3 linked regions of the Arabidopsis thaliana genome follow. The protein of the gene in region 1 purifies or fractionates together with the protein of each later gene. This does not show direct contact. Each region holds a gene or a part of one and is shown in the gene's direction. Other genes may lie near its edges.

The links.
Region 2: the proteins of TPR3 (region 1) and AT1G30580 fractionate together in Arabidopsis thaliana (co-fractionation; one large-scale study listed by BioGRID). This does not show direct contact.
Region 3: the proteins of TPR3 (region 1) and ECHIA fractionate together in Arabidopsis thaliana (co-fractionation; one large-scale study listed by BioGRID). This does not show direct contact.

The regions. Positions count from the first base shown.
Region 1 is NC_003070.9:1,105,353-1,111,404, reverse strand, and holds TPR3 (Tetratricopeptide repeat (TPR)-like superfamily protein), read left to right. Parts: upstream 1-2,679; 5' UTR 2,680-2,847; coding exon 2,848-3,005; intron 3,006-3,326; coding exon 3,327-3,420; intron 3,421-3,534; coding exon 3,535-3,585; intron 3,586-3,675; coding exon 3,676-3,849; intron 3,850-3,957; coding exon 3,958-4,137; intron 4,138-4,215; coding exon 4,216-4,335; intron 4,336-4,414; coding exon 4,415-4,548; intron 4,549-4,712; coding exon 4,713-4,788; 3' UTR 4,789-5,051; downstream 5,052-6,052. Other genes in the region: AT1G04200 (dyggve-melchior-clausen syndrome protein), read right to left, coding at 13-100, 177-422, 586-727, 819-948, 1,042-1,105, 1,182-1,421, 1,540-1,729; YUC9 (YUCCA 9), read right to left, coding at 5,417-6,016.
Region 2 is NC_003070.9:10,830,647-10,838,235, reverse strand, and holds AT1G30580 (GTP binding protein), read left to right. Parts: upstream 1-2,600; 5' UTR 2,601-2,781; coding exon 2,782-2,868; intron 2,869-3,201; coding exon 3,202-3,369; intron 3,370-3,472; coding exon 3,473-3,596; intron 3,597-3,923; coding exon 3,924-4,015; intron 4,016-4,176; coding exon 4,177-4,275; intron 4,276-4,374; coding exon 4,375-4,488; intron 4,489-4,806; coding exon 4,807-4,871; intron 4,872-5,030; coding exon 5,031-5,147; intron 5,148-5,254; coding exon 5,255-5,330; intron 5,331-5,524; coding exon 5,525-5,617; intron 5,618-5,937; coding exon 5,938-5,988; intron 5,989-6,184; coding exon 6,185-6,283; 3' UTR 6,284-6,563; downstream 6,564-7,589. Other genes in the region: AT1G30590 (RNA polymerase I specific transcription initiation factor RRN3 protein), read left to right, coding at 1-60, 241-366, 463-531, 648-754, 864-947, 1,041-1,128, 1,316-1,429, 1,542-1,726 and 1 more; HERK2 (hercules receptor kinase 2), read right to left, coding at 6,754-7,589. UniProt on the Arabidopsis thaliana protein: Hydrolyzes ATP, and can also hydrolyze GTP with lower efficiency. Has lower affinity for GTP. Exhibits GTPase activity.
Region 3 is NC_003075.7:9,175,263-9,180,266, reverse strand, and holds ECHIA (enoyl-CoA hydratase/isomerase A), read left to right. Parts: upstream 1-2,127; 5' UTR 2,128-2,288; coding exon 2,289-2,698; intron 2,699-2,937; coding exon 2,938-3,220; intron 3,221-3,298; coding exon 3,299-3,403; 3' UTR 3,404-3,701; downstream 3,702-5,004. Other genes in the region: AT4G16215 (uncharacterized protein), read left to right, coding at 434-571, 691-775, 875-1,023; AT4G16200 (SWAP (Suppressor-of-White-APricot)/surp domain-containing protein), read right to left, coding at 3,702-4,026, 4,077-4,618. UniProt on the Arabidopsis thaliana protein: Straight-chain enoyl-CoA thioesters from C4 up to at least C16 are processed, although with decreasing catalytic rate.

The DNA.
Region 1 (6,052 bases):
AATATAACTTACATGCCGAGAGTATCAAATAGTGAAGCAAATGGTATCCGAACATGTGGACCAGCAGGGTGGGCATTTCCCTCCACATCTGAGCGGTCAACTGCAATCAGAGTAATAGTTTAGATAAACACATCGAATTCTTCTTATTCAGAATAATGAAGAAAAAAAAATCTCACATTCAACATCTCTAGCATTTGCTAGAGCCTTGCTAAAAGTATTGTCAGAGGAAAATACATGGACTTTAGAAACTGATTCTGAGGTCGCACTGTCATCACTTTTATCCGTCATAGACTCATCACTCATGATAGACTTGTGATAGTTAATTAGGATAAGTAAAACATGCAGGCTGCACTCCGCTAGTGGATTTTTAGATCCGCCACTGTTACTTACAAGATAGTTCAAAGGCAAGAGCACTAAACTTGCTGTATATGCAACAGAAAAGTTTTCATGAGTACATGGACTGTTTCATGTAGCTAGTTAGGAAAACATAATTGAACGGAAAGTCGGAAAGGCAATAGAAAAAGATCAACATTTACAAGTTAGTACAATAATACATCATATATGAAGTAATATACGAACACCTACCAGCTGCAGAACCAACTCTCTCTAAAATGCCTTGTGAATCTCCATCAGAATACATATAGGATTTTGCATTTGGAGGAGTACGGTGTCGGGAAATATAATTAAGTAGCAACCTTCTGACTACTAGAGAAACTAGAGACTTTTCCTGAAAATCGTTGAACCAAAGGAAATGGCGGAAATTGATATGAGGTAATATCTATGCTAAAGACAAAGAAAAAAGTAATTAATTTGGTTACCTGAGTCATTGCTGCATCAATAAAAGGGTTCGCATCTGTTGGTCCATGTGAAGGTCCAGAGAGAAGCTGTGTCGACATTGTAACAAGCATGAAGTTGAGAAGTTCCTGATGTAGAACATACGAGTTGGGACTTGCCAAATAAATGATGAAAATCAGGAGAATGAAACATCTAATACTGAAACATATAAGGAATAGGTGATATAGAGAATCAGCATTGGCATACCTCACTTCATTTGATCCAATGAAGCTCAGAACACTATGCATGACAAAATTTTGGATGTCTTGATCTGCCATCAAAACACTCTTAATTAGCCAGCTTAGAAATACCTTAACGCTGGAAATAACTATTATGAGAGTCATTACCCATTACAAATCCATGTGGAACTGGTTCACTTTCGTCCAGAGAAAGATGCAACTCCTGAAGACTGTCACTTTTTCCATTCTCAATCAAATACTTTAAAAAGACGGATGAAATATATGTTGCATTAACAGCTTTCTTATAGAGAGAAGACTGATCATCTGAAGCTTGAAGAAGCTCTTGCAAACACCAGGACAGATGAATCAATAGTTTTGCAAGGTGCCTAGTGTAGCCATTACTTTGTGCTGAAACAAAAAAAGAAAATAAGATCATCCTCCTACTTTCACTAGGTCATCATCAACATTCAATTTCATTAGCTCAAAGTGAATTCGACAACACATCCTTTACAATTTCAACACTAACCGAAAAGTTCACAGGCTTGTTGAACCCGATCACTAGGCCAGCGAGAACTCAACGGAAGCTCAAGTAGCTTGTTCCAGAAATCAGACGCTAAAGGAAACGATTTCTCCCCAACAAAAGTGGCAATGAGGTACTCGGCCACCGAAACATCATCACCACCGGTTTTTCGCGGCGTTGAAGGCACACCTCCCATGTCTCCTAAGCCAAGCTCGCCGAGTCAACAAGGATCCAAAAGAGAACGAGTCAATTGATCGCGTCCACCGAGTCGGTTACGATGAAGAACAACGGCATTACAAAGCAAGAGATGAACAATGCAAAGATCTTGCTCTCAATTTGGTCTCTCTCGATCTAAATCTGAGATTAATTGAAGATTCAAACTGTTAAACCAAATGCTTCGATACCAAGGGTTTAGACTTTTGAGCAAAAAAAAAAAAGAGAGGACGCGTTATTTTATTTGTTTATTTATATTATAATCTTTTTCTTTTAATGTTGGAAAACTATTATTCCTGCGTAAGTTTATTTCCAAATTGATTTTTTGATACAAATAATTTAGCGACTAAATGTGACAATTTTTGATTATTCATTCCATCAGCACTTGTAATTAATGAAGTTAAATAAGTGTTTTCCTAATTTTGAAAAATACAGGCTACGTGCTACCAAATTAATTCCCACCAAACTCTCATAAATATGATTCGAATACTTTATGGGTTCTTACGTTTTCTCTTTTACAAGAGCTTATATAATATTTTCTGTATAGATTAACCTCAAACCAAATCTTGACTTTTTTTTTGAAGTTAACAGATGACTTGTTCTATTCTACTAGAGAAATGAAATTATTATTTACTAGTCTACGTGGAATAAAAACAGAGATAATGGATTTGGGATAATTCAAACGAAATGGAGTCAAATTGATGCTAGCTACTACCGTCTTTGAACCGTCGGTTGTCGGTGGAGTGGGATGTGGCCGAATCTTTTTTACTGTATTTACAAATTTGAGGCCCATTTATTTTCTTGGGCTTTTCATTTCTTCAATGATTCTAGAACTGAAATTGCTCAAGGTATTAGTTCAAACTTAATCGTTATTGGGCTTTTCCATATGTTCAATATTCTTAGTTATGTTTAATTAAAAATATATGCACAAGTGAGAGAACTCAAATGATGAACAAAAAGTAATAATATTTAGAGAAAAAACTAAAAGAGGAACAGAGCAGAAGTGGAAGTCTCTTGTCCCTCTGTAAACCCTAAAATAGAAAAGCAAATCACACTTGGGGGATTCATGTTCTTTGGCTTTCTTACAAACCTCTAGAAATAATGGCCGAGAAAGCAGGCAAGGCAACGAATGGTGGAGAAGCAGAGAAATCTCTAAAGGAAAAAGGAAATGAGTTCTTCAAAGCTGGCAACTTTCTTAAAGCCGCAGCTCTCTATACTCAAGCCATCAAGCTCGATCCTTCTAACGCTACTCTTTACAGGTTTCCTTTTACTTGTCTTCTACAGTCTTTCGAATCTGATTGTTGGGTTTCATTCTATTTGAGCTGATTTCTCAGAAAGATCTGATTTTGTTCTCTTGCGATATGTTTAGAAAATGAGATTGTTTAGGTGGAGACAAATTAGGCTTTTAACTTGAATAATAGTATTACAACATTTTTGTTATATTTGGGAAGATCAATTGTGATTTAGAATACTAAAAGTTGAGGTTTTTGGTTTTAAGGTTCTGTGAATTGGAACAGTGTTATGTGTTAATGTGAGTAGATTTTTAAAGTGTAATAAAGCTTTTTGTTTATCCGGTGCAGTAACCGAGCTGCTGCATTTTTGAGTCTAGTTAAGCTTAGCAAGGCCTTAGCAGATGCTGAGACTACCATTAAACTCAACCCTCAGTGGGAGAAGGTAAAATCAATACATGACAATGTTTTTTTGTGCTTTCGGTTTCATCATCAATAACATAAAGTATCTGTGTGTGTCTTTACGTAAACGATGGTTTTTCTGATCTATCTTCTTCAGGGGTACTTCAGGAAAGGTTGTGTGCTTGAAGCCATGGAAAAATACGAAGATGTATATGTTTCTCTTATTTTGGTTCCATCTAAATTTTTTCTATCACAAAGCTATTCCATGGTAGTTAAAACTGTGATGATTGTATCTCAGGCTTTGGCTGCATTTGAAATGGCTCTGCAGTACAACCCACAGAGCACAGAAGTTTCTAGAAAGATCAAGAGGCTCGGTCAGTTGCAGAAGGAGAAACAGAGAGCTCAAGAACTTGAGAATTTAAGATCTAATGTTGACATGGCCAAGCATCTTGAAAGTTTTAAATCTGAAATGGTTAGTCCTCTTTTTCTCTTCTTGTGAAATTCCAGAGAATCAGTCTAAGCCTTCCTCGTTGCTTATATTTGATTGTTCCAACTCAGATTCTGAATTTAACACATGCAGTCTGAAAACTATGGAACTGAAGAGTGTTGGAAAGAGATGTTTTCTTTTATTGTTGAGACTATGGAAACAGCTGTGAAGTCGTGGCACGAGACATCTAAAGTCGATACTAGAGTCTATTTCCTTCTTGACAAAGAGAAAACACAAACAGACAAGTACGCACCAGCTGTCAACATCGATAAGGTATTAAGGGCATCCAACTTGAATCTTATCAAAAATCTTTTTTTTGTCTGATAAAACTACTTTGTTTCCCTACTTCAGGCTTTTCAGTCTCCGGACACGCACAGTAACTGCTTTACGTATCTGAGGCAATACGCAGAAGAGTCATTTTCCAAGGCTGCTTGCTTAGTAACACCAAAGAGTAGTATATCCTACCCACAGGTGAATCAAATCTGTCTTTTTCTAAGCTTGTTCTTTCTGGTTTGTATATATGGACTGACGGTTAAACGATGTCTCACAGGTGTGGAAAGGTGTAGGCTCAAGGAAATGGAAACTCGGACCAAATGATGGAATCTTTGTTCAGTTTGAATCTCCCTCTCTTCGGAAAGTTTGGTTCATATCTAGCTCGAAAGAAAAGGGACAAACTTTGTGCAGGTTCTTTCTCTAAACCACTTATTATGTTTAGTTTTGCAATGTGCTTTAAGAATTTGATGAAGTACCCTTGACTTCACACAAGCTGTTGAATTTTCTTGGGTGTATTAAAGAATCAAACTTTTGCATCTAACTCAAGATTAAAAGAGTTGGAGTTTTGATTTCAGGGAACCGCAAGCTCTGGATATCGGCGCACATGAGATTCTCCCTCGCATTTTCAAGGAGAAATCGAAAAGCTCGTAGGGCATTGTTTTGTTGCAGTATGATTCTCTATATCCAGTTTTTGATCAAGACTAAAAAGATAAAAAAGAGTTCTTGCGAGTGTGTGCTACTTAGAAAATCCACCTTTTTGTTGTTTCTTATCTAATGATCAAACAAAACTTTGAACTTTTGAGTCAAAAGGCTATCTTCGAATCAAAATCTTTACTCGACCGGGCTAGGTTCAACATAGGTCTGAGTAGGTCTTAAATCGGACGGTGTTGCCTCCAAATCTGTACATGCCATCAACAAATCTGGGCCTCTTTGTAATGGGCCAATTTCTATAACGAGCTAAGCCTGTTAACAAGTTTCTTCGAACTTCTCTCTCTTGTATTTGTTTGAAGGAAATGCCCAATGAGACAAACACTAATTTTGATTTACCTCCATAAAGGTTTTACATAAGCATATATGGTAAATTGGTAATAAAAAAAAAATAAGAGAGCCACATCATCCTAATTTTACAAAACGCCCCTACAGCTGTGTAATAAAAAAAACAGGCGGGGACTTCAGGAGAGGGCTCTCTTTACTCTATTTTACATTTTTCCTTTTGTATATTTTTACAAATAAATCGATTTATTTATATATATCCTATTGAAAACCCCTAACGTGAGGCTTAAGCAACTGAGATGCATCTTCGGTGACCCACATTTCTTCTCATCTTCTGTCGTTTGGTCTCTTCTCTCCACACATTTCCAATGTCTTGAGCGATGTTAACGGCGTCTACTGATGCTCCAGCCAACCCTTTTCTCGTGAATCCGGCCGCGTATAATCCCGATTTCCCTTTCCACGCGTTTGGAAACGGCGATTTCGGAAACCCATTTTTCGAAAAGAACTCACTTTCCTGAAGCCAAGAAGGGACGTTGCTACGATAACCGGTGGCGAGAACCACAGCGTCGATATCTAGCTTCTGACCATCTACGAGCTCCACGTGGTGACGCGAGAACTGTTTGATTGCAGGTACAATTTCTACGTCGCCGGATTTTATCTTCTCCAGAGCACCGATGTCAAGAACCGGCGTCTTTCCTGTCATGCTTTTAAGCTCCATTGGGCCGATGTCAGGCCTTTTAAGCCCATAGTTTGATAAGCTCCCTAGAACCAACCACGATAAGATAAGCAGAAGCTTGTCTACGAGCCATAAAGGTAGCCACTTCATCATCATCACTGAGATTCCAAATGTTGATTTCCCCATAATCTCCCTCGGTAAAACATGAACCTGGTCGAATTAAAAAACACAAGAACACTATTAGCT
Region 2 (7,589 bases), 9.7 Mb from region 1:
GGCATGTTTGATATGGAACTTGAAGATGCAGTTGAAAGCACTATGAATGAAGGAGACGAGGTAGGGTTAGTGTAATTTTTTGCTATCTTTGCAAAATCCCGAAACTTACTCTGTTTAGTAATGATCGAAAGTTACTTGATGACAAGATACCATTTTCTCTTGTTGTGAAATGTTAGACATGACCTCTGGTTTCCTGGAGAAGAATGTGTCATCATTCATAAATTTGATCTCTTTTTGCAGTTTCCAGTGGGGGCTCTAAAACAAAATACTTCAGGTGGAAATGTAGTCTCTGAACTGTTGGACAAATTGATGGTCCTATTTTTTCATCATCTAGAATCCTGTCAAAACTCTGATCGTTTGGATGAGGTATGGCACCAAATGGTACTTGTTCAACATATTTTTCCTTTCCTTTGTGGTAGATTCATTGATCTTTTGGTGTTTCTGTTTTTCATTTTGGCATAGGTATTTGAAATCCTCTTTAAGTCGTTCGAGAACTATATTCTGAACACATACAAAACAAAATTTTCACAGGTAGGCATCAAAGCTATCACCTTACATACTACAAAGTTTTCATTGTAGGCTTCTAGCATTAGTTCATTATCGGCATGTGATGTCTTGGCTTAGACTCACTCTACTTTCATCTGCAGTTTCTGATGTTCTATGCATGCTCACTAGATCCTGAAAATTGTGGTGTGAGATTTGCCAGTAAGCTGTTGGACATATATCTCTCCAGCAACACATGTCGACTTACTAGGCGAGTTTAATCTTGTCCTTCTTGGTAAAGATTTCTCTGCATGATATGAAGCTAATATTGTTCTAATCACCACTTGTGTATTCTTTTGTTTTCTCTTTATACTTAACAGGATGAGTGCAGTGGCTTATCTAGCTAGCTATTTGTCTCGTGGAAAGTTTTTGCCTGCTTCTTTTGTGGCTAGCATGTTGAAAAGGTACGTATTGCTAAAAAATGGAAAATGTAATTGTTTGATCTGATTTAAGTCTCGCTTTGTTGTAACATAGTTTCTCTTTTGCTGAAATCCTAGATTGGTGGACGAGTGTGCGGAATATTGCGGAACATGCAATGATGATGTGAAGCCAGAAGCACATCAAGTGTTCTATTCTGGATGTCAGGTATAGTCCAAGTTTAAGACCATCTTATGGCTTTTGATTCCTTAAGAACTCTTCTGTGAAATCATTGACGTCTCTAGTTATCAATCATTGTTAATGTTCACACCCTTACCAGAAGCTTATTGGCGTTTGGGATCATATGCTATTATGTCATGTATCGCTTAAAGTTGTTACTTTTCTATGACTGTAGGCAATCTTGTATGTGCTATGCTTCCGAATGAGATCCATAGTGGAGATTCCTCGCTTTCAATCGCAGTTTAGATCATTGGAGTCAATTTTATCTCACAAACTAAACCCACTACTGGTGGGTGACTTACACTAATCATTTTCTTCTCATAGCTCAACTGTTATTTTAAGTAGTCTTCACTCCAAGTATCAAATGCATTATGCTTGCACCATTCATTTTGTGTGAACAGGTGTGTCTTCCATCTGTAGTTTCCGAGTTCCTTAAACAAGCCAAAGCTGGTGGTCTGTTCATTGTCTCAGAATCCTTCATTTTCGATGACCTACACGAGTCTGAGCTCTCTCGTGCTTTTGGTGGCTTTGAAAGGCTTGACACATTCTTCCCGTTTGACCCGTGCTTGTTGAAAATGTCTAGCAGGTTTGCTATCTTTACTCTTGATTATTTTTTCTCTTCCAAAGTAAGGACAAATCAATGTGAGAATCTTACACAAGGTTCTTGACTCACTGGATGAATTTACCCGACCTGGGCATATTTGATACAAATTCTACTGCATACATCTTAATTACAGTCTTGAAATGACATTGAAAATTATTTTAATATGATAAAACAAGTGATGAATCAAAGTATTTGCATTGGATAGGCTTGAACTCTCTTTCTCACACGTGTTTTCTTGTCAATTCTTGAAGCTACATCTCCCCGAACTTCAACTTCTGGTCAATGGTGAAAACGACTTATGGAGAAGATGGTGACGAAGAGCTTTGTGATGAGGTCATAGTGAATGGAGATGCAGACAGTGCGGAGGAACCTGACGATGACGTTGAACTTGATAGTGAGATGAACACGATGTCTACAACTCCGAAACACTCTTTCATGCGAGAAACAGAGAGGCTCTTGAAGATGCCTTCAAGAATCAGACCATCCACTAGTCCTCCTGAATCCTTCTTAATCTAATAGTCATAGAGAGAGGGAATGCAATTTTGCAATGTAGGTTTCTTATTACAATCTCTTAGCTAGTGCGTAAACTCTAAAAAAAAGAAGTTGACATGAGTTTTGTGCGAGTCTGTGGTATTATCTGATCGCATGTGGTTTTGTAGCAAAATTTTGAAGAACATCTATGAAGTAAAATTTAGTCAGTTGGTTTATGATTACCTAATTTGAGTTTCGGTTTAATTTGGTTAAGTTGAAATGCTGAATGATTGATTTCTCGGTTTAGTGTTCAATATTGGGTTTACTTTGTCCACAAAATTGGTTAAAAATAGCTCTTTGTATTTTGGTAAATGTCCCGCAAATGGTTAAAAGTAAACCGGGAATTGACCCTCCGATTTAAACCGGTCCGTAAACCAGCTGAGCAATCTCTCTTTAACCTCGGCGTCGGCGTCTTGTAGCTTCTTCTGCTAGGCTTTGTTAATCAGCAAAAACCCTAGAATATCTTAGAGCTTCGCTTCACTTTCAAGCTCGAGACTTTGAGAAAGATGCCTCCGAAAGCCAAAGCTAAAGATGCAGGTCCCGTAGAGAGGCCTATTCTTGGCCGTTTCTCTTCTCACCTCAAGATCGGAATTGTAATTTTTCTCTTCATCTCTCTTTTAGAATCCAAGTTGATTAATTTCGAATGGTGAATGGTAGATTTGCTCATCGCAATACTTTCCTCGATAAAAGTTTTTTTTTTTTTTCTTCTTCTGAGTTTTGCCGGGAGAGATCTATTAACTCATCAGTGATGCATGATGATATTGTTTGTTTCGTTGTGTTTGTCACTGTACTCTTTTAGATGTTTAATCCATATTTAAGAAACTGCTTCTTTGATACAGTGATTAAGGTTGATTGTTCATGGTTGATATGATGATATGGAGAAGTATTGATGTTATTCACTATGGGAATTGTTTGTGGCATCGCAGGTTGGGTTACCAAATGTTGGAAAATCTACTCTTTTCAACACTCTTACAAAGCTTTCAATTCCAGCTGAGAATTTCCCCTTTTGTACCATTGAGCCTAATGAGGCACGTGTGAATATCCCCGATGAGAGGTTCGATTGGCTTTGCCAAACTTACAAGCCTAAGAGTGAGGTAAGTTTGTAACTTTATTTCATGACTTGCTGTTAAGGAAGAGATTACTACTATCTGAATTACTTTATGAATGGGCTGACTTCTGTCTGTTTTGATGCCTCAGATTCCAGCTTTCTTGGAAATTCATGACATTGCTGGGCTTGTTAGAGGAGCTCATGAAGGACAGGGTCTTGGAAACAACTTCTTGTCCCATATTCGTGCAGTTGATGGAATTTTCCATGTTTTACGTATGGTTTTTCCCTCTCGCTTTTTCTCCTAGTGCCAGCTTTGTTTTAGTGTGATGCGTGATTTGATGAATAATTTAGACTGTACTGCTACTTGTGCTGTCTTGAATTTCTACTTGAGCAGGCTTTTCAATGAGAGACAGGTTAAAAACCTTTATATATTTTTCTTCCCATTTGATACCTATAGGGCCATTGCGATAGTTAGTTTATGTTTTCCTCTCCAAGCATATCTGTTCTTGAACAACGGGGATGTTTCTTTAATAGTTGCTGATAGTAAGATATCTTGCCAGTTATATAGTGGTTAGTGACTTTTCGATTGAACATATGCAGGTGCTTTTGAAGATGCTGATATTATCCATGTCGACGATATCGTGGATCCTGTTAGAGATTTGGAGACCATTACTGAAGAGTTGCGGCTAAAGGTGAATCAAATCTCTAAACAGATATTTGACTGCTATATCTCCAAACTCGTGAAATCCTTTCTGTGTATATTAATACAGTAGTCTGTTTTTTGTATTAGTTGGATCTTCATTTCATCCATTGTTGTTTTGGTTTCAAACTGAATTCTTTGGTGCAACTTTAGGATATTGAATTTGTTGGAAAGAAGATTGATGATGTCGAGAAGAGCATGAAGAGGAGCAATGACAAGCAGCTGAAAATAGAACTTGAGCTCTTGCAAAAGGTATGCTATAATTTGACAACCATGCAGTCTTGTTCTGCAAATGTTATTGCTCATTAATTATTAATTGGCCGAAAAAATGACTGTACCTCTCTGGTTTAGGTAAAAGCTTGGCTAGAAGATGGTAAGGATGTCCGTTTTGGGGACTGGAAAACAGCTGATATCGAGATTTTGAACACTTTCCAATTGCTTTCTGCAAAGCCCGTTGTTTACTTGGTGAGTAGTCTTGAATGTTCATCTCTTTCTGTTACCATTGTTTCTATCAAGATAAATGCATTTGCTTCTTTCATATCTATAGTCGACAATTTTGTTCCCTCAATTTTTTTCGGGTCAGTTTGCAAAATGTAGGTCATACTGTCTATTTTTGTGACACTATTTGCCCCCAAATTTAACCATAGTGTGTTCCTTAGCTATTTCTGATCTCTATGCTTTCATGTTTGTTTCAACTATGTGTTTCATCTCAGTGTAAGAACTATTAAGGCATCTTGGTTGGACTTTTTGTGATCACTGGTTACTCTGAAATTTAAATTACAGATTAACCTGAATGAGAGAGACTATCAGAGGAAGAAAAACAAGTTCTTGCCAAAGATTCATGCCTGGTACTAATATATATCCTTTCACAAACTATGTTGAATAATAAGTAAAACATTTTGCCCCTTGGTTGTTGCAAAAGTTTCTAATATGGCTACGTGCTTACACATTTACTTACCTTATTATACTTCTCCTAAACTAAAAATATCTGTTTCATCATTATGTAGGGTTCAAGAACACGGTGGTGATACTATGATTCCTTTCAGTGGTGTGTTTGAAAGGAGTCTCGCTGATATGGCCCCAGATGAAGCAGCAAAGTATTGTGAGGAGAACAAACTGCAAAGGTTAGGAATAAAAGAACAGCACCTTGCGAATGAATAGTTGCTCCTGAAGATGATTTTTCTTTATGAATCTGTTAAATTGAATCTTATGGCCATTGCTGCTTTGACAGTGCTCTTCCGAGGATCATCAAAACTGGATTTTCAGCAATTAACCTCATATACTTCTTTACAGCAGGGCCTGATGAGGTATTAACAGTCCCACTTTACTTGGCTTCACTACACGCTTTAGTCTCTAGTTCTCTGTGAAATTCTTCTAAGCATAATTGTTCTGTAATGAGCTATTTGGTAGTGCATGATCAGTGTTATGTGTCAAGTAGTGCATTGTTACTGGAATTTGATGGTTTATAAAATACATCCATCAATGATACTTTGATTTGCAGGTGAAGTGCTGGCAAATAAGACGGCAGTCAAAGGCTCCTCAAGCTGCAGGGGCCATTCATACTGATTTTGAGAGAGGATTTATTTGTGCTGAGGTACCATTTTCTCATTTCTCTTGAATCTTGGTCAATTCACTAGTTTATTCCTACCTAAAATTTACATGCGTAAAGCCTTTCCCCTCCAGATTTTGATGATTTGTTCTGTTATAGAGTTTATATAATCTTTCTTATGTTTTCACTGACAAAAACAAATGCTTGCTTGCATATTCTTATATTCATCTTGGTGTTGATTTCCTAGTATCGATGCAGGCCTGTAGATATCAAAGCAGAATCCTAATGCAAACCATATCTAATCAAATATTTTTCTGTTTTGAAATTCAATGTGATTTATTCCAATGTTGTTGTTGATGTCACAGGTCATGAAATTCGAGGATCTCAAGGAACTTGGCAATGAACCTGCAGTCAAGGTATTTGTCTATAACTTCTTTTCCTTCTACAATCTCTTAAGGTCTCGGTGGAGTAAGTAGCCTCTAAAAACAGACATGAAAATGTTAAGGAAGCTCTCCACTGTGCAAGATATCCTCGTTGAAGAGGCATGATTATATTTATAATGTTCATGGCGATGACACTTGGTCTAATTTATAATCCCTTCAACTAATGCAGGCCGCAGGAAAATACAGACAGGAGGGTAAAACATATGTTGTTCAGGATGGAGATATCATTTTCTTCAAGTTCAATGTTTCCGGTGGTGGGAAGAAATGAGATCCATCCGTCTGTCCACCTATCCGCGGTGTCCTCTCTGGATCTTGAAGCTCTATCCATTTCCGAGAAAGGAACCAAGCTGTATTTTCCGTTTTTGAGTGGCTTTACCAAACAAGTATTTGTAACTCTTTACATTTTGCAGTTAGCTAAGACATGTCTTTGCCTTTAGACAGAGCATTAAGCCTGCTGTATCGTTTAGAACTCTTTCAATAAGTTTTTCTCTACTATTTGGAAAGAACCTTGAGTAATTGTGCGTGAGAATGAGTTGAAGAAACCCAGCAAACAACTTCTGGTGCACTTATTAGCGAAGGAAACAAATGGAAAGAATGATTAAACGAATACCTTAAGGAAATTATATTTGCAGTGTATATTACAAGCTCTATTACAAAAGAGCTTCTGGATAGATCACAATCAATTATAACAAAAGAACAAAAGAATTATTTTGGGACTGGCCAATCCAATTGCTTCCTCTAAGCCGAATTGTGAAGAGCAGATCCTGTTTGGCTCTGCTCAGTTTCTGAGGAATCTTGATTGGAACAAGCTGGAAGAGTAAAGCTCTCTGGTGCTTCTTCTACCGCTTGGCTGCTCGAAAACGAGTTTTCTCCATTCTGTTTGCGAAGCCAAGCTTCATGAATCTGCAAAACATACTCCAAGCTCCATAACACTTCTCCCATCATTGGCCTGTTCTTCCCTTCATCCGCTAAGCACTTCTCTGCTATCTCCCCATACTTCTCCAACGATTCAGGACTGTAGTTTCCCCTCAGATTTGAGTCGATGATGGACTCGAGGTTTCTCTGTTTTTGCCAGCTTAAAGCCCATTCCGCAAGGTTGATCTGGTCTTTAGGCAAAGTTGGGTTTATAACAGCTCGAGCACAAACAGCTTCGAACAACACAACACCAAAAGAGTAAACATCTGACTTCTCTGTTAACTGTTGCCTTCTAAAGTATTCAGGATCAAGATAACCAAAACTTCCTTTCACAGCTGTACTCACATGAGTATGGTCCATGGACGGTCCAGCTTTCGACAGCCCAAAATCAGACATCTTTGCCACAAAGTTCTCGTCTAATAGTATGTTTGTTGTTTTGACATCTCTGTGAATGATTCCTCTCTCTGACCCTGTGTGAAGGTAATGCAATCCTCTCGCAGAGCCTATACAAGCTTCAAGCCGTTGCTTCCATGATAATGGCGGAAGGTTGCTTCCAAAGAGATGACTCCTGAGAGTTCCATTTGCCATGTATTCATAAACCAAGATCATCTCATTGTGCTCATCGCAGAACCCGATCAAAGACACAAGATGCCTATGCC
Region 3 (5,004 bases), on another chromosome or scaffold:
AATATACAAGCTTGTGAAAAATTAAATGTTGTGTCTAGACTCTAGAAAATACAATACTAAAGTTGGATATCCTACGAAAGCTTTTTTCTGAGAAAAAACTTAGATCTGAGCCGTCGCCGCCTCTCCGCCGCCTGTGACTTTTGCCGGCGGTGTGAGAGGGCTTCCCCCCTTTTCTTTTTCGTTGTCTTGTCTATTAGTTTAGAAATAAGGTCGACTCTTTGCTCCTTTCTCCGGAGGCTAAGGTGAAGCTCAACGACGACGGTGTGACGATGCGGAGGCAGTAGGTAGAGGAGAGAGCTCTCGGCTCGATCCTTATCCAGGAGACTGGTGGGGTTCGGAGCTGCTCCGAGCAGCTGTTTCGATCCCTGTATCCCCCAGGAGAACCAAGCCGACGGATGAACAGAGGCAGAGTCAGAGTCTTCCAGGCGTGGGGATGGAGCTGTGGTCGCCGGTGGCCGAGATAATCCGGAGATCTAGTGAACCGTCTCAATGTCTGGTCCAGTCCGGCGATGGAGCGAGGCAACAAGGCATGTGCGGCGAGATCGTTCCGGCAATGCACCGTTTAGGTGAGGTCTTACTAATCCGGGCTCCAATGTGTTATCCTTAATCGATTAGTAGCTTACGGTTGATTGGTTAGCTCGGGAAAAGCTCTAGCCTTGCTGGTTTGCCTTGTATCATTGGTCGGGTCAGTCGGATATATGGTCCGCTTTTGGTTTAGGACCGGAACAACGAAAGCCGGGGATATTGAGTCTTTCTGATGATGCGTCTCCGGGTGGTAATGCTATTGGGACATGGATTACATTCTGATCAATAGGGACTAATAGTATGGATTTACTTTGTACTTCAGACTAGGTTTTGGTCTCTTCCGTTTTAGTAGTTGTTCTCGTGTCGCTTAGAGTCTGTGTAGGTGGTCAAAGAGATGATAATATTCTGATTTGTGGAGTATTATCTATCTCATTGTGGTTTAAAAATGCAATGGTTCCTCGATCAGGTAGCGCTGGATCCGATAGTGTTTCAGCGTGATACTAGATCAAACCATTGCATTTGGGTCCAATTTGATAGAGGAGAATGTTATGTACCTTCAATTGGATGTAATCATTTGATAAATGAAAGTTGATGTTGAGCAAAAAAAAAAAAAAAAAAAAAGAAAAAAAATACAATACTATATGTTTGTTTGTAACATGTTAATAGATAGTAGTATTAAATAGAGTAGTAAACAACAAAAGAAGCAAGAGGTGGATTTTAAATTAACAAAACAACTTGTTATCAAGATAAGACTATACACATTAATTGTTTCATGATGATAATAGTAATTAATAGTCAATAAAACGTGTTATTAAATAATAGAAGCTCCCATGAAACATGCACTATCGGTTACTTGTAGAAGTAATACAAACCGTTGACGTGGTAGACGATTGTAATTCGTTATCTTTGACCTAACGTATAATGGTGATTAAAACTAATGCTTGATAAATTAACGGATAGTGGTGTTAGCTGGTATCCTCCAAAGGAGGTTGAACCCAATGTCTTTAGTTTGAACTTTTGCTATGAAAGGTCTCAACTTTTCTGATAATAGAACAAACGGGTTAAAAAGTTGACATCGGCAAAGTAAATTACTGATCTTGGTCCGACCTTCTTTTAAAAGATTAAACAAATAAATATTTGCAATTGTGAACATATTAATGGTGAAACGAATTACTTCTATAAAAATAATTGCATGATGAATGAAGCATCTTCTCTCCTTTTCATGGGGCAATGTTTCAAGGAGTTTCAGATCAAGGTTTTGTACCAAGTGGATGTGTCTTTCACTAGTTGAGATCAGATCATTGACGTTTTTAACTTACTCTAACTATTTTTAGTAATTGTATAGAGCTCAAACGTTTTGTGGTGAACCTTATACTTTAACAGAAGATTGTTTTTTAAAACACATTAACGAGTCTGTGCACACAAAAAAAAAAATAAAAAAAAATTAACGAGTCTATTATGCAAATGGTGCATAAAAGTTTTTTAACAAAACCATTTATTAACAGATGAACAGAAATCAGACCGGTTCGATCCGGTTTACTCATGGTTTGTGTTTGTACTTTCTCCACTTGCCGTTTTCATGTTTGAGAAACAAAATACGCAGCGTCTAAAATAGAAGCAAAAAACGGGACGTTGTTTACTAACAACGACAAAACAATGGCACACTTACCCAAGTTCTTCGTCATCTCTTCCTGATTGACTCTATTTAAAAACCCGATCGGAAAATTCGAAATCCGTTCAATTGTAATCGGAATCGTCGAAAAATGGATCAAACAGTATCGGAAAATCTCATTCAGGTGAAGAAAGAATCAGGCGGGATCGCCGTCATCACAATCAACCGTCCGAAATCTCTCAATTCACTCACGAGAGCGATGATGGTTGATCTCGCCAAGGCATTCAAGGATATGGACTCCGACGAATCGGTCCAGGTCGTGATTTTCACCGGATCAGGTCGATCTTTCTGCTCTGGCGTTGATTTGACTGCGGCGGAGTCTGTTTTCAAAGGAGACGTGAAGGATCCGGAAACCGACCCGGTTGTGCAGATGGAGCGGTTACGTAAACCGATCATCGGAGCTATTAACGGTTTTGCCATCACCGCCGGGTTTGAACTCGCCTTGGCCTGTGATATTTTGGTCGCTTCTAGAGGAGCTAAGTTCATGGATACTCACGCCAGGTTGATTTCTTCTCTTACGACGTCGTTTGCATAGTTATCAATAGCACTGGTATCTAGCAATTAGGTCAAATATAGTTGCAGATTTTAGCTTTGGATCATAGAAAATCATGTTGTTTCAAGCTCTACTCAATTCAACATCTTAAAATTCAATCTCATTTGTTTATGCTCTCAAAATTTTGTTGCCTTGAGATGAATGTTTTTGATGATATGAATGTGAATCCTCTGTTTTGTGTTTGAAGGTTTGGGATATTTCCTTCATGGGGTTTGTCTCAGAAGCTGTCGAGGATCATCGGAGCAAACAAAGCTCGAGAAGTTTCTTTAACATCGATGCCACTGACAGCAGACGTGGCTGGGAAGTTAGGGTTTGTAAACCATGTGGTTGAAGAAGGAGAAGCGTTAAAGAAAGCTAGAGAAATCGCAGAGGCTATAATCAAGAATGAACAAGGCATGGTTCTGAGGATTAAATCCGTTATCAATGATGGACTTAAGCTTGATCTTGGGCATGCTCTCACACTAGAAAAGGTTAAACATTCTGCCATTTTTAACTTGTTGATCAATTTGTGATTGTGAGAAAGTCTAAAACTGTTGTTGAAATCGTAGGAGCGAGCTCACGCGTATTACAGTGGGATGACGAAGGAACAGTTTAGAAAGATGCAGGAGTTTATAGCCGGACGTGGATCCAAGAAACCTTCTTCTAAGTTGTAGACAGTTTCTCTATGGATCTTAAAATAATACTTACTACTTTGTACCATTTCTTAATTTACATTTTGATTAGTGTCTTACAATAAGAATATCTTTGTTTGTTTCAAATCAAGTATGTAGTCTAAGATACGTATCTCTCAGCTTTAGACATATGTTGGTAAAATTTATGGAATTGATAACTGTATCAGGATTATAAGTCCAAAGCTTTAGAAACAAACAATATTAAGTGAATAAAATGCATGCTTGTTCTAGCCTGCACAAGCATTGTCCATCTCTCTGTCTCAGACCACGACGTGCAGTATTAGGATATCTCCTCCTCTGACATTGTAATGAGCAAGTGACCTATTACTGTATAAGCAGCACGACCCCTCAGCTTATCTTTCAAATATTTGGGTGGATTTAATACTTGCGAATACGCAACAACAAACTCGTTGTAAAAAGAGAACCTGTAATCAGTTGCCTTCATAAACTCAAACTGAGGTTCCGTCATCACTCTTTCCATCAGAAACCCTCTAAAATCATCCCCATACCATGCCACAAACTGCGCTGTGACCTTAACGGTGTCAAGTTCCTCGAATGTCATCTCTTTAACAAGTCTAAACTGTAAAAGATTAGGCAGGACCAATCTTTGAGACTGAAGACTGAATTGAGACTGAGGAGGAGGATAGGGCTCAACTTTGGTGTAGCTTCACGGTGATACTTAGAAATGGATTCAGCAAGCTTGTGCTGGTAATATGCGTCGCGAGGATCTAATGAGTACTCATCAAGCTTTTGCTTGTACAATACGTTATAAGGATCTTCAGAGCTTTTCAGGAAGTTAAATCTTGCATCATCTGTATTAGAGTCCTTAACCATCATCTCAAACTCCGACCCGAATTGAGAAACCAAACATGATGTTGTCTCAACAATAGCTGTAGTTGTGACATTTGGAGGTGCGTGAAAGATTTTGATGTCTGATTCATCAGTAGCTCCGTCTTGATTCTGAGAAGAGTATTCAGCAAGCTTGTGCTTGTAATATGTGTGACAAGGATCTGCCGTGCTCCTCAAGAAGTTGAATTTTGCATCAGTAGGATAAGAGTCAATGATCTTAGTCTCAAATTCTAACCCTTTTTTGGAGACGAATTGGGCAGCTTTGTCAACCAGAGTTCTAGTTCCGATATCTGCAGGTGGGGTAATGATTTCCATACTTTGCTCCGATTGCAACGTCGAGGTGGACATTCTTCAACAACAAGAAACATTCAAATCAAAATCAGATTATATCGAGAGAAACGAAAGAATCGAATTTGACCTAAATTTTGGTTTTTTAAAGAAAACAAAATCGCCACACTATCTCAAATCAACAGAACCGACAATCCCCTAACCACGACAAAAAACTTTTTCCTTCTGTAACTAATAATTAATTGTAAAATTTCCATAATTATTGTATTTTTTTTTTGTTTTACAATTAGTAGCTTCAAATTAGAATTAATCAATAATTTTTTAATTTCTATTTTTATTTAATAAAGACAGATAGTGTTCTTATAATTATCTTATTTCCATATAATTGTTGTTTTACTTTCAAAATTTTTAATTTTTTATATTTATCTTTTTACAGTTTAAAATTA